2 linked regions of the Lonchura striata genome follow. The protein of the gene in region 1 binds, or shares a complex with, the protein of each later gene. Links are inferred from orthologs where the notes say so. Each region holds a gene or a part of one and is shown on either strand. Other genes may lie near its edges.

Evidence for each region. The genes of interacting proteins can lie anywhere in the genome.
Region 2: the proteins of PTPN22 (region 1) and PSTPIP1 are in contact, whole or in part, in a crystal structure (PDB 7AAM), measured with the Homo sapiens proteins. The link is inferred for Lonchura striata from reciprocal best matches to the Homo sapiens genes PTPN22 and PSTPIP1. Residues at the interface, in NP_057051.4 of Homo sapiens: Ser793, Lys794, Pro795, Gly797, Pro798, Arg799, Asn800, Pro801, Pro802, Trp805, Asn806; in NP_003969.2 of Homo sapiens: Thr225, Arg228, Asn229, Trp232, Asn236, Ser239, Met240, Cys242, Val243, Asp246.

The regions. Positions count from the first base shown.
Region 1 is NC_134632.1:4,789,076-4,797,111, forward strand, and holds the start of PTPN22 (tyrosine-protein phosphatase non-receptor type 22), read right to left. Parts: upstream 3,070-8,036; 5' UTR 3,035-3,069; coding exon 2,948-3,034; intron 264-2,947; coding exon 155-263; intron 1-154. Other genes in the region: AP4B1 (AP-4 complex subunit beta-1), read right to left, coding at 4,823-5,298, 5,708-5,992, 6,510-6,717, 6,875-6,978, 7,885-7,968. UniProt on the Homo sapiens protein: Acts as a negative regulator of T-cell receptor (TCR) signaling by direct dephosphorylation of the Src family kinases LCK and FYN, ITAMs of the TCRz/CD3 complex, as well as ZAP70, VAV, VCP and other key signaling molecules.
Region 2 is NC_134613.1:4,992,887-4,999,912, forward strand, and holds the start of PSTPIP1 (proline-serine-threonine phosphatase-interacting protein 1), read left to right. Parts: upstream 1-3,953; 5' UTR 3,954-4,093; coding exon 4,094-4,126; intron 4,127-7,026. UniProt on the Homo sapiens protein: Involved in regulation of the actin cytoskeleton. May regulate WAS actin-bundling activity. Bridges the interaction between ABL1 and PTPN18 leading to ABL1 dephosphorylation.

The DNA of each region.
Region 1 (8,036 bases):
CAAAGCCCTAAATCTGAGCAGCAGGACTCAAAGCCAACAGACAGCAGTGAGATGCTCACATACAACCACTGTGCAGGCAGGCAGCAGAGAATGAGAACAAGAAAAGCAAGAAAAACAAAAGGCTGAGTAGGAACATGTGCCATTTCCAACCTACAAGGTAAGATGTCCTTGTATCTGTTTTTCTTGACGTTCTCTGGCTGCTCAGATGCTGCTGTAGGGTAGATTTTATCCGCTCTGTACTTTGTTGACTGTCTCTTCAGCTTCTGTGATAAAAGAGTGGAACAAATTACAGCAGACGTGCTACAGCCAGCTCACTACTAGAGAGCACATGAAGGTCTCCAGGGGTCACGTTTGCTACCACAAAGCAAGGCTGGCACCATTAATTCTTTCCTGAGTGGCTTTGCTCAGAGCAGGAACAGAGCCAGAACCATCTGAGAGCCCCAGCAGAGGCTTGAGAAGGATGGAAAGTGTGTGCTGAGGCAGTGCCCACACGTCGGTTTGTGAAGTGACACAAAGTGGGTGAGGCCCAGGGGAGCCACTCTCAGTACAAATGGCACCCAGATCAGAGGAGTGACAGTGTCAAAGCACCTTCAGCGAATGATACCAGAAAAGACAGGTAAATCTCTTGATTTTTCTCACTTTGGTAGAGGTGCTCCCATCTGCAGCTGGAAGCAGTGATGCTCAAGTCACTAAGGGAGCACAAGCAACTGGGGCAGAGTGGCTCCATGGACTGATGAAAGACAAGGAGTCCTGGGACAGACCCTTAGGGCTGCAAAGCTCTCATCTCTTTCATTTTAAGGATAAAGCTGCAGCACTCACAGGGAGTTAAAGCATTTTTCTTCTGGTAAAGCATAGAATTTTATTTCACTGCCACCAGCTCCTACATAACACACACTATTTGTTACCATCAGTTTCAGAAGCACCATTCTCATTGCATTTTTTCTTTCCTATTTTTGTGTCCAGATTGCTGGCTTTTAATATTAAATTGCAGTTTTAAAACACTAAATTCAGCCACAATAGAAGCTAAATCTCAGAGATCTGATGGAATGAGTGAGGGAGGAGGTACAGGAAGCTCAGGACAGTCCATGTGTCCAGTCTCGCCAAGGCCCTGAATCATCTGACTTTTCTGTCCCTGAATAATCTGACATGAAACAGCTTGGGAACTGCCTAGGCATGAAAAAGGAAGTGGGAATCACAGAATCATGGACTACCCTGGGCTAGATGGGACCCATAAGAATCCTTGAGTCCAACTTCTGGCCTTGCACAGACATCCCAAAATCCCACCCTGTGCCTGAGAGCGTTGTCCAAATGCTCCTGGAGCTCTGGCAGCCTCGGGGCTGTGCCCATTCCCCGGGGAGCCTGGGCAGAGTGCAGATGAGACTGCAAACAGAACAAGGGGACTCTAACAAAACCCCTATCATTTATAGTAACATCACCACAATTTGCCCATAAAAATGCTTGGTCCCACAAGGAGAGGGCAGGAATTGGGGTGGAGGAACGCCACTGGATATATCTGTCACGTCTGGAAACAAGCCAGCACGATGGCCTGCTGAGGCCGCTGCCTTGCAAAAGCGGCCACAAATCTGGTGTCTCTGAGAAGATCTTATCCCATACAACAGGAAATGCAGCCTTGACCATTTCCACCTGCCATTTTGGTCAGAAATTAATACATCAGGCTGCTGGAGACAGCCTGAGCAGCAGGGCAGAGCCCACTGCCTCACACACGCAGACACCAGGCGGAGCGAGGGGAAACTCAGCAGGCTGTGACAGCGCTTTGTTCCATGGAACAACGGGCTGCCACTGCAGGCTCAGATTAATCACTTCCCTCCACCCAGACACCTGGAAACCAAGCACGCAGCTTTCCCCTGAGTGTTTGAAGTGCCAGTTTTGCTGGTATGACAGAGCAGGGCTGGAGCTGGAACTTGTGTGGACCCCTTGGTAACCTGGAGCCCACTGCCCGGGTCGGTGCAGTGTTTGACACCTCTCAGATCTCACAGAGGTACCAGTTTTACCCTTCCCTGTGTCTGTGAGAGCTGGGCAATGTCACTGCCCTCAGAGCAGCCCAGCCAGCCTGTCAGAGCCACCTGCCTCCAGCTGAGGCACCAAGAGCCACTCCAGCCACCAGCTTTAGCCATGAGATGGTGCATTAGCATCCGAGCCTCACCCCTGGCACCCAAACCACAAAATACATCAGAGAGCTCACAGATTCAGGGCAACACAGAACACAGAGGGTGGTGGGAGCCATCAGCATTTTGTGCAGCTTTTGCCTTGAGGGAACAAGAAAGCAGTTTCCAGGAGGAGCCAGGAGCACTGCTGGATGTGGAGCACACAGGTCCCAGAATGGCTTAGGTTGGAAGGGACCTTAAAGCTCCTCTAATTCCACCCCTTGCTGTCGGCAGGGACACCTGCTGCTCTCCCAGGTTGTTCCAAGCCCTTTCCACCCTGGCCTTGGACACTTCCAGGGATGGGGCAGCCACAGCTCCCTTGGGCAACTTGTGCTTTATAGAAACAAGGACAAGCTAAGTCAAGGTGAAACCAGAGATGCCTGGCAGGAACTCGTGTGCCACAGGTCTAACAGATTGCAATGGGGAGAAGGGGAAGAGGCTCCATATTCCTCCCTGTATCCCCAGTTGTGTCACCAGGGCCAGAGGCTCCATATTCCTCCCTGTCCCCCCAGTTCTGTTACCAGGCAAAGTGAAACCGTGTCCCGACAAGTGCATTCACCAAGCAGAAAACAGGAAGCACTCGGGTGATTAGTTAAAAAGCAAACAGTTCAAATGCAAACTATTAATTTCCTATCATGTCTTCACATTCCTCTTAGCCCAATTAACTTCTGGGTGTCTGCTGTAAAACTCCTAGAAAACCTCACTGTTACAGGTTTGAGAGGTGACCGAGCGATTCCCCCGACATGAGCTGAAGCGCTGAGCCAAGCCTTGAGTGAACTCACCAAAAACTCCTCTGCAAACTCTCCTCGGCTGAGCTTCTTGCCCTGGGCCCTTTCCAGGTTCTGTAGCAGGATCTCCCTTTGGTCCATGGTGCCGGAGCGTGCCTGGCCTGGCCCTCCTGGGAAGGGACATGTCAAGTGATCCGCAGCGGAAGGCGCCGCCGGGGAGAGCTGCCTGTGGTTTTCTGACTTCATCACAGCCCCAAAGGAAATTAGTGCGTAGCAGATAATCCTGGTCAAACACAACAGAACACACGGCACAGGGCCCTGGCACCTCCATTCAAACCAGCCCCACCTGGCACGGGGTGGGCAGCACTGAGGACAAGGGTAGGGACATGCTGGACACCAGTCCAAGCCCCCCACCACCCCAATTCCTTCAGCACCGTGTCCAGCCATCACTGCCAGGGGTAGCCAGGGGTGAGCACAGGGGGCAACTGTGGAGCATTCACATCCCAAGGATCTGTGCTTCACCAGGAATGCTTTGAGCCTGGAATGGGGCTGGAAGAGTCCATAAAACAGCATGGAAAATCCACAGTTCCCCTTCACGCTTTTAACATAGAATCCCAGAATGGTGTGGGTTGGAAGAGAACTTAAAGCTCATCTCAATGGGCAAGGATACCTTCCACTATCCCAGGTTGCTCAAAAGCCCATCCAAGCTGGCCTTGGACACTTTCCAGGGATGGAAGTTCTGGTGTTTTCCACTTCAGCTCTCCCTGAGGACAGGAACACAACACAGCTCTGGCAACTGTCAGCAGGAAACCTGCTACAGCTAACTGGTGATCTGCCTTTGAGTCCATCTGCAGGTTCACCCTTTACAGTAATTTGGCATTTGAGGCTGAGATTAATTTATTGCCCAATTGCTCCTTAAAGCTTTGCTGCAAGGAAGGTCAGAGAGAAAGGCCCTGTTGGACACAGAGGCAGGAGCTGGGCTGCAGAGCTGCCCTGATCCACAGATCACTCCATCCACAGTCCTGAGGGTTGAAAGAACAAGAAACTCCAGAATCAGCCAAGAATTATTCACCTTTTTATTAGGGAAGTGTGTTTAACAGTGGCAGGGATTTGGTGAAGTGCATGGGAGGCACAGTGCCGTTTGAGGGTACAATCGAGTCATTCAAAGAAACCGAAAATCAGAAATCAGAAGAGGGTTAAAAGAAGCTTGTGCTCCTCACAGAGTACCCTAAAGCCCTGTTAGCTCAATCTCACTGTGTACATCATCCTGAATGAAGGAGCTGGGGGGGAACTTCAGAGAGAATTCTCACCTCAGTACCACATTTCAATTAAAAACCCACATCTGTCTCTTGAAGTGTTGGTTCCAGCAGTCAGGATGTCCCTGCCCACCCTCCTCTGGCACAGCAGAACTCTGCTCACCCCAAAGCAAAGCTACTACTGAAACCAGACAGCAAATTAAAACAAGTGTAAAAGGAGCTAAGAATGAAAGATTCTCTTCTCACTGCTCTGTTCCTCTTAATGTGAGGTAAGTGGCAGAGTCCTGGTGCCTCTGGTGTTTGGTTTGGGTTTTTTTAAAATTATTTTTAAGTCTCAGGAAAAAAACCTCTCCAAAACACACCCCTGAATTCTGCTCACTTCTGGTTCCATCAGTGATGTTTGTGCCTCGTGACACCCACCACAGATGCCACCAGTCCTGTGACTCACACCAGTGACCCTGTCCTTTCCCCAGCCTGGGGGAGGGCAGACCCTCCACCCTGCCCTGTTCCCCAGCCCCAGCTGCAGCTTCCCCCACACCACCTGGGCTTTCCAGGTAATCTGGAAACTCTGCAGTTTAAAACTACCAAACCAGCACTGGGTAGGGTGAGAGAACGCAGAGAAATCAAATTTTCCTGTGCTCTGAGCATGCATCCTGCTGGGAGCAGGGACCAGTCAAGACTCCAGTCCAGCCACTGCCTCCAGGACTGTCCTCAAGGCTGAGATGAAGGATTGCAGTGCCTCTGGCTTTGCTTCAGTTTGCTTCACTGAAACCTGCAGCTCTGAATCTGCTGCCTCAAGCAGGAGCTCTGTGAGGAAGAGGCAGCCTGAGTCATCCTGGGCACTCAGATAAGCTTTCCAGGGCTGGGCTCCAGCTTTGCTCATGGCAATGGTCTGGATGTGCACAACACGAAGGGCTGTCTGGATGGTGTCTGCATGGACAGGCCCACACCAGGGCAGAGAGAGCTGGCAGCTCGTGTCCAGGCTCAGCCAGGTCTTCTCAAACTGTTCTGCAGTCAGGGAAACATCAGGAATCAAGCTTAGGCTGCCTGCATCAGGATGAGCCTTGAGGAGTTCTTTATTCCCTTCAGACATCAGAGTATCAGGATGAACCTCAGGGACTTCCTTATTCCCTTCAGAAACCAGTGATTCTGAAATGAAAGCACAAACACTTGTGAGATGCAGCTCCCAGCTCCACAAAGCCCATTGGATGGAGGAGGGCTGGAACCCCAGTGCCACCAGCAGCATTTCCTGGGCTAGTCAGTGACCAGCCACACACTGCACACCAAATCCCCAAAGCCCTCTGACCTTTTTCCAAACAAACCCACGGGAGAACATCTTGGCTGCCCAGAGCAGCTGGGGCTGCCCCTGGATCCCTGGCAGTGCCCAAGGCCAGGCTGGACAGGGCTGGGAGCACCTGGGACAGTGGAAGATCCCTGCCCATGGCAGGGGGTGCAAGAAGAGGAATTTCAAGGCTCCCTTTAACCCAAGCCATTCTGGGATTCTGTGATCTGCTGGCAAGGGGAGAATGGCTCCCAGAGGAAGGCGAGGCAGGTTTACCTGTGTCTCTGCTGCTGGAGTCAGCACAGGGAGGGCAGGAGTAAGAGGGTTCCAGAGGCTGCTGAGCAGTGGCCAGGGCCCAGCGCTCTCTGCCATAAACTGTGGCCAGAGTGTTGAACTCCGAAGCCCAGGCATTGACAGGCTGCTTGCTCTGGTCCCCCAGGAGCCCCATGGAGGGGTCAGACTTGGGGCTGCACAGGACCCTCCTCACTTCCTCCACCCCAGACTGCAGAAGGCGGTAGTAGAACAGCCCACGGTCTCGCACGGCCATGTCCTGCTCCTCCTCTGCAACCACAGAAATGCAACCCAGGGAGGATTCTGTCAGCCACACTGCCCCTCAGTACTAACACCTCATTGTTAAAGCAGACTGTCAGGCATACAATGCAAGCCTGCTTACAGGCAGACAGCCAAAGGACAAGGGAGAATGGTTTTAAACCAACAGAAGGCAGGATTAGATGGGATATTGGGAAGGAATTGTTCCCTGTGAGGGGGGAGAGGCCTGGCACAGGGTGCCCAGAGGAGCTGTGGCTGCTCCTGGATCCCTGGCAATGCCCAACGCCAGGCTGGACAGGGAAGGTGTTCCTGCTCAGGACAGGGGGTGGAACTGGATGATCTTCAAGGTCTGTTCCATTCTGATTCCATGACTCCACACTCATCAGCCAGCCATGGGCCAGGCAGCAGCCCAAGCCATGGAAGCACCTGGAAGCAGCCTGGACGGCCTCCTCAGAGCCAGGGCACTGACACAGCCTGGGGACACAGCCAGAGCAGGTCCCTCAGAGCTGTGGGGATGCAGGGAACCCACCAATGCAGTAGTAGAGCAGCCTGCCCAGCATGTCCTGGCACTCGGCGGGCCGGGCCAGGAACAGGCGCAGCAGCGCCGTCAGCAGCTCCATCTTCACTGCTGGGAACGACTCCGACTTCACGTTCTCCACAAAGTCCTCCAAGACGTAGGGAGCATTGGGGATCTTCTCCCCATGGGTGCCCAGGAGCCAGATCAGTGCTTGTTTGCCCTGAAGGAACCACAGGAACACCAGCAAACAGCTGCTGTGTGCCACGTGTTGGCACCAAATAAGCACAATGGGAGAACAAATCTGAGGATTTCTGATTTTTGCCCCCAATCTCAAGGCAAAGGGAAGCTGAGCAGTCGTTGTCCATCCTCCCCCTCACCTCACTGTCCTGGATGGTGTCCTCACAGCCAGGCAGGGCCTGGCACACGGCATCTGTGCACTGGGGACACAGCCAGGCCAGGTCCCGGAAAGTACGGACCACAGCTGCAAGAAAAAACAAGTTATCAGCATCCCCCAGGAGTTATAAAAACCACTAGAGAAAAGAAAAATCATTTCAAACCCCCCCTACTCAAGGGGCTGTGTAAATCTCTGCCAGGAGGGTCAGTGCCCTGCCTGAGACTGTGATTTGAGGCATCCTCCTTCCCAATCCCACGACTGCATTTGTCAGAGCAAAGCTGCACCAGGTCTAAAATAAAGCACTGAGACTTCAGATTGTTCCTCTGCTGGAGAGCAGCCTCTCTTCTGGTCACTGCCAGCCTTTAAAAAGCCTCTGACTCATGATGCTTCAGACACACGAGGTTGGAATGACAAATTAAAGCTGACCCCGATTCAAAATGAGGCTCATGAACTTTAGGTCAAAACTTGAAAGGTTTTGCTGCCCACTCAGGCACACCAACAGCTCCTGAGATGGAATTGAACAGCTGAGTGCAAGTGTGTGGTTTTCAAATCTGAGAGCAAGACCAGTTAAAAGAGAACAGCAGGAACAGCAGCGATGTGAAGGTGGATCTGAGGGCAGAGGAGAAAAAAGGAAGCTTGGGCACAACTGCATCAGACTATTATGTGAGGAACAGAAATCACAGAGATCAAAAAGATTTATTAATCATCTTGGCTCTCAAATAGACAGCAAGATGTCTCTGCTGAGCCCTTCACTCCCTGAGTCAGCAGGTGGCAGCCAGAAAGAAGCATGAACACAGCTACAACCCCTTCCCCTTTCCCACAGAGAGCAGCTCCTGCAGAAGGAACACACCTTACACCCCTCAACCCACCTGGAAAACTTCCAGCTGAAGGTGCCAATTAAACTGAAAGCCAAGTGTCTTTGAGTTTGGGATCACGAGCTCCAGCAAAGGCACCTCCTGAGAGCATAAACCAGCAGCAGCCTGCAATGGTTACCTGAGGTGATGTGCTCCTGCTGAAGCCCCAGAAGCTCTGTCAGAATCCCCACACACTGCTCTGTGTATGTCCTGGCAATATTGGCTGCAAGGATGCCAAAAAGACAAAAGAATCAACCTTCTAGCAGAGTGAAACAGGAATCATAAACCCAG
Region 2 (7,026 bases), on another chromosome or scaffold:
GCCTCTATTAGAAACTGTTATGAAATGTTAGATAAGAGGTAAGAACAGAGCCTGTGCTATCAATCTTTATATCAATTATGGATTTTACTGAAGCAGAATACCAGCAGGACTGTCTTGCACTGTGAGGCTGCTTTTGGAAGGCTGTTCGAGCAGTTCCCTCTAACAGGAGCAGAGGGAGCTGAGTTTCAGGGCTGAGCAGAGCCTGGTGTGCAGTCTGGGCCGTGCTGAAGCAGCCTCTAGCTGCAGCCACAATGGTCCAGAGCAGCTGGAACAAACCAAGCCAGGTGTTCAGAGGCTGCAGTTTCAGTTTCCATGGGAACACAGACTGGCTCCTCACAGAAGGCAAGGTGATTTCAACATTTTTAATGGGTATGATTTGGGATAATTTGCAAGCCCCTGACATTTCCTACATGGAAATGCAGAGATCCATTCATATGGAATTAGAACAGTGGGCAGAGCTCAGCTGCTGAATCATGTCTGTTTTAGCCATGGTTTTGCTCTGGCAGTGGTTTCCTTGCTGCTCTGTCCCCAGGCTGTGGGGCTCAGTTGGACACCAGGAGCTGTTGGAGTTTGGACATGGCTGCACTGCAGCCGTTGTTTGAAGCTGTGTCTCAGATGTAACGATTCTGGAGGCTGGGAAGGACTGCACCAGTGCCTTCCAGTCTCCACTGGCATTTGCCAAACTACCATTCTAAGGGATCACAATATGCCTGAGGACTTCTGAACAGTACAACCAGCTCAACGTTGGGATTATCTGAGTATTCAGCATTTCTTTGTCTTCTGCCTTAATACTTTCCATGGACTCCCTCATACTCTCGCTATGTAGAATAAAAGGTTTACTGTCTTCTTAATCAAAAACATTTCCTCTGAAGAATGTCTTGCTTGGTGTCGTGGATGAGCACAAAAATGTTTGTAGATGCTATTTTTGTATTTTGCCTACTGTCAAATCCAAACTTGCCACCCAAATCCCTGATAAAAAGCTTTGCTTGAAGTAGTATATAGTTAAAAATTAAATGAAACTTCCATTCTAAAGAATGAGAAAATTTGAGGGCTTTCAAAACAGTGTTTTTTTTAAAAAGTCAAGACTTATCCTTCTTACTACAGAATGGATTCAAATGGTACATTCTGCTGCCAAACAATTTAATTACTGGGGGAAAACCCTCAGGAAGTGTGTTCTTGGCGTTACCAAACAGAATGGCTGATTTTACACCTCTAAGAGCAGTGATGGAAGGAGATGCAGCGGCTGTCAGGGAAGAGTTCCACTTAAGGCTCCTTGTTGATACTGCTGGATTTCTGAGAGAACCTGTCAGGTCAGGCTGAAATCCCTTTAATGCTGGAGACAGGAACGTGACAAAACACACCAAGGCTGATGACACAGCAAGGCAGCTTGGGTCAGGTGCAGCTCTCCCGTGTGGCTCTGATGATCTGTGTGGTTAACCCTGATGGGCCAATAGCTGCTCGTGTCCTCGCCGGCCTAGGCCTGCTCCCCAGTGGTCTGCACCAGCCCAGTTCCATAATTAAGGTCATTAGTTGTGTTTTGGTTATCAGATTGGGATTATGGATAACTGAGGCCTTTGGGCCAGCTGTTAGCCACCACAGCCTTGATATCCTGTTCCTGTGTAGAGCAGAGGGGATACAGAATTGTGTCCCCCTTCTAAAGCCCTGCAAAGCCCTGCACGGCACAGTGCCTCATGGATATAACCCAGTGCCACTGGGACCTGGGGGCAGAGACCCAAATTGACCCAAATCTGCTTCATCACAGCTGGGCTTGGTCTCACACCAGCTACTCTGGCAGCTCATCCAAGTTCCCGAACTGGAGAGCTGCTCTGGGCTGTTCTGAGGAGCTCACCCACAGCAGAGTGCTGATGGCGTTGAAGCGTGAGAGCTGCTGGGAGGTGACTGTGCTACACCAGAGCTCTTGGGTGGGATGGATGCAGGAATAGAGCCCAGCCTGAGGTTCAGTCAAATAATAGGCTTTGTGGCTGGAAACCAAACTAAAAATAACAAGAAAATAGCATAACATTTTAGAGGGCTAAAACACACTTGGTCCATTTTTATGAACCCCAACAGCAGCAAAGATGGTTTCAAAACACAGCTGTAACTTGGAAATAGTAACAGGAAACATTTAGGTTTGGAAGGACTGAGATAAAACACTTCAAAAAAGATCATTTTCTTTTTGGATACAGATCAAGTATGACTAGTGTCCATGCCCTCAAAATACATTTTTTCAAGGAATTTTCCCTTCTGGAAGAAAGTTTCACTCCTTTCTCCTCAACATTGTCTGCAAGTGAATCCTTGCATTTCTCCTCCCACTCTCATGCAATGATGCTTTCTTCCTGCTACATCTCTGACCTTCCAGACTCTCGTCTGCTCTCCTCTGCTTGCACTTCATTTTCTCTCACAGAGTCCCTGCATATTCCTGTCTTCTTCATACCACCAGGAAGGAACCTGGCAAATTCTTTTAAACACCAGCTACAAATTGACCACAGAGTGAGTAGGGGTAACTGCAGCCCCCAGCTGCTGCAGAGCTCTCTGAGCAGAGCCCCGAGTCCTGCTGGAGCACAGGGAAGTTGCAAGACTTCCCCACCCCGGAATGATCTGCCCGGGGGCTGCTGCTGGAGGGCAGCAGGACAACAGTACCCAGAGCAGTGTCAGACAGGCAGTTGGAAACCAGTAAGTCCTGATGTGTTGTTGGTGTGCACAGACAGCTTTCACAGAGGCAACCACCACAGGACTACTTTCCTTTTTCCTCTCCTCTCCTCTCCTCTCCTCTCCTCTCCTCTCCTCTCCTCTCCTCTCCTCTCCTCTCCTCTCCTCTCCTCTCCTCTCCTCTCCTCTCCTCTCCTCTCCTCTCCTCTCCTCTCCTCTCCTCTCCTCTCCTCTCCTCTCCTCTCCTCTCCTCTCCTCTCCTCTCCTCTCCTCCCCTCCCCTCCCCTCCCCTCCCCTCCCCTCCCCTCCCCTCCCCTCCCCTCTCTCCCCAAAAATGCAAGTGAATTTTTAAAACTAGGTATTTAAGAATGCTTAAAACATCCTAAAAAGGTGAACAGAGGCAACCTCACCTGGAGGACAGGTGCTTTGGAGAGGGTTTCAGGAAAGCTTTAGAAGTGTTACTCTGTGCTCAGGTATTTGCAGCTGTGTTATAACAACTGGAGGAGCTGATTTGGGGAGCTGCCTGAAATACTTGGTGTCAGCAGTGTGCTGCTGAGTGCTGCTGCTTCACTGGTCTGTGAGGGTTCACTCAGGTCCTGGTGCTAACAGATTCTTAGCTCTTCTTTTTGAGGACTTTGGATTTTACTTCTAAATTTCACATGCCTTACATATTCATATAAACATTTATGTGAGGGCATGCAAATCAGGCGTGTTCTCTACATCAACATCCAGGTATCTAAATGTGTGCAGACACCTGCACACTTCTCAGGCTTCTTAATTTAACCTGAGTCCTGAAAAGCCTTTCCAGATGCAAAATGCAGCTTTGAGCTAAGTTTCCTGTGTGCAAAGGCGTGGGCCTCTGCCAGTCCCAGAAGGTGCTGCAGAAATGGGGCACTTATGTTTCTTTAGCTTCTTTTTCTTTGCAAGACCACAGCAATAGAGAATAGCTTGTCTCTATGTATTGTGGTGGTTTCTTTTGCACTGTAATTGTTTTCTCTCTTCCTTCAGCTGATCAAATCATATCACTGAACTTAGTGCCTTTTTTTTTCCCCCTCTATTTTTTTCCTGTCCGCTCACACACACCCATGGCAAGGAGCAGCCTGACACCATTTGACATCTCTTTGCTTCCTCATTTCAATATTAACTGTTTACCAGAAGAGAAACAGGTTTGGGGTGCGGGTGCTGAGCACTTGCCTGTCTCTGTTTGTGAGCAACAGCTCTTTTGCCCTCTGTCCCTCACAGCCACAGGTCATTTCTCTGAGCTGCCTGGAACAGCCCCATGCTATTGGCACCAGCCTGACTTCAGGAGGGACAGGTCTGTGGATGTGCTGCACTCTCTGCTTGGGCTGGGGTGCAGTGACAAGGCTCAGAGCTGTGCCTGCTGCTGCTCTCACTCCACAACGGACTAGCTGAAGCATTCCTACCCCTCTGCAGAGCAATAATAATGGCCCAGCTGCAGTTTAAAGATGCTTTTTGGGTAAGTGAGCATTTACTATGTGTTTCCTATATTCAATGTACCTGTGTTTTAAAATCTTTTAAAATACAGCTTGGTTCTGTATATAGTTTAAAACTAATTTAATGTTGTTCTGTGTTCTCAATTTAATTTAGTGAAAATCCAAATTTGTCTCCAGCAAAAACATAGTGTTTGGTAATGTAAGTGTTTGATCCTGGGCAGAAGGATGCAGTGTAAAGAATATATCCAGTCTCCATGAAACCACTGACATTCCCAGATCCTGTACTAGGGCCAGAAACCTCTTTTGAAAGGGACATGGATTTGTCTGTGTCACAGTGGTAAGAACCTGCTTGCAGTGAGTGTCCTTAGCTCTGTGAGTGGCTCCCAGAGCAGGTGAGCTGTTGCTAATTATAGGCTGAATTCCCTCCTGTCTGGGGAAGAGCAGAGCCAGCAGCTGTGAGCAAAATGCTCCTGCTCAGCTCTCTCCAGGCTCCCTCCCTGCTGCCAGGAGCATTCCCAGGCATGCAGAGCCCAGGAGCTGTGAGGCAGCACAGGTTAGAAAGGACCAGCAGTGCCACTCCCCAGCTAAGCCCAAACTCACAGCTGAGTTTAGTATTTGCTAAAACTAGCAAATACTGAAATGAGGAGATTCGCTCCATACTTGTTATTTGACTTTTGTTTGAAAATCCTTTTGGTCTCCTGTTTTCAAGCTCTTTCTCTGCAGTTACAAGGTAAAAGGACCTTAGTAATTTCTCTATGATAATCTGAGGTTCTCTTGCAATTGGAGAATGAAAGTTCAAAATCAAAATTCTAACATTGCAAAGTTAAGTAAACAGGATGTAATGTGGTTGCCTCTTTTCTGGGCAATCATTTATCCAGCATTGAGCACTGACTTAAAGAAAGACATGAAACTATATGAATTCTTCCTGCCATTGCCTGGCTGTTCTTTCTCCTTGTGGTCTCTTTCTCTCCACCCACGCTTCAGGGTAAACCCTCTCTTGGTAGAAAACAGAGAGCAGAGACAAAAACACATTTCAGTGAACCACCATCCTCCAGGCACTTCCAAGAAGCCCTCCCCACCCCCACTGCAGTACTAGATTTGAACAGTTAAAAAGAATAAAAATACAATGAGGAAATATGAAAGTCGGTGTTGATGTTAGGACTGACTGTGCATGACCACACCTATGTGAGATTCTCCTCCTTTGTGCACACACTGACTGCACAGTGCAGTGCACAGGGTGGGACACAACTGTGGGCCAGTGCTACCCTGGGAGCTTCAGCCTGTGCATTGCTGAACTTCCTTGGAAAACAAGCCACCTGACTTCTACAGCTGGTACATTTGGTATAGTTACTTTTCAATGCCTTGGTCTTTAGGGAAAATAAAGCTATGGGGGTAGTGTGAGGGTGATTAATGCCAGCTGATGATCTGGCCAGGCTGGTTCTTCATGGCTTTTCTTCCCTAAGCTTCTCTTCTGTGCTTAGTCACATTGCCATGACTCAAACCCTTGTTTAGCTTTGAAGCTAACACCTTATTTAAAGGAAAGCATCTCTGGATTTCTTTTTTTTTTTGGCTGGATGTATTGCCCAGCTTGATTAAGAGGGCAGGAATGTATCTGGTTGCAGGATAGAAGCTTTAGCTGTTACAGTAAGTCTTTAAAAGTGAAAACTTACAGGATATTGCACAACACAGCACAAGTGTGCAGCATGCCCCCCAGATCACAAGATCAGCAAATATTTTTGCATTCATAAGGTTCTGTTGTGAGAGGAAAATGTATTCATGTGGTTTGCTTCAGCGAGCACTTATCTCCTGTATTTGGTCTGTGCACTGAACAGAAACTGCCTTTCTGATTGACACCCAAAAGGTGTTTGCCCCATGGTGGGTGCCTCAACACAGAGCCCTGATCTCTGATTGCTGCGCCCACTCCCTGTGTTCCGTGTCCCTGAACAACAGCTTCCTGCTCCACCATCAGGAAACTTTTGGATAAGCAGGGGTTTCCTCAGAACCTACCTCAATGTAGAGATCTCCCTCAGCTAGCAGAGAAAGAGCACCATTCATCCCTCCCCAAAGTTCTCCAGACTTCATAGAACAGGATGTGCTGTCTTCCAGGAAAATTGTTCCTCATAACAGGTTTAAGTTTTATCCTCTCTTTCCCAATAAATGTAGCAGTGATAGTACCATACTACTTTGTTCAATTTTATTCCACACTTAGTTCAATTTTATTTTCTTTGTAGCATGGCCTGAGCAAAAACCTGTGTATTTTTTAATTACAGTTTTTATTTATATGTACTCCACATTCTCTGTAATGGTTTAAGGGACAGTTGCTCAAAGTCTGCACTAAAATGTGCTTCTTAGCAGAAGTTCTCTATCCTCTGATAATATTTTTTGGGAAATGTTAGTGAGATAGAAATTCAGATCGAGTTTGATAGCCAGTGCAAGGCAGTTGCTGATGGATTAATATTCTGCTGGGCTGCTGTATGAGCCTGACAGATGTTACCTGTCTTCTCTAGCATCATATAAGACAGGTAGGGAAATTCCTATGTTAATGGGGGAGTGTCTGTGTGGCATCAGCCGAGTTCCATGTTAATGGAGTTGTGTTAACAGGCAGAGCAACAGTAATTGTTTTGTTATGAAAAACACTATCCAAGAAAATCTTTTCCCCTCAGTCACGGAGTGTCTTTCTGAGATTCATTCTCTGTTCTTGCACTCATTGTTGCTTTTCCTTAGTAATTTCTGTCATTGCCTTTTCCTTCTATTTAGTTTCCCTCCAGCCTGCTGCTCAAAACTGCAGCTGCAGCCCCTGGAATGCAGGTATTTCTGGCCAAGAGATAGGAAGGTACTGGCACCACTTCCTGGCTTTGCCATACCCACCTGGGAACAGGGGATGAGGAAAACTTCCAAAGGAGCTAGTGGGTTTTGGGGCAGG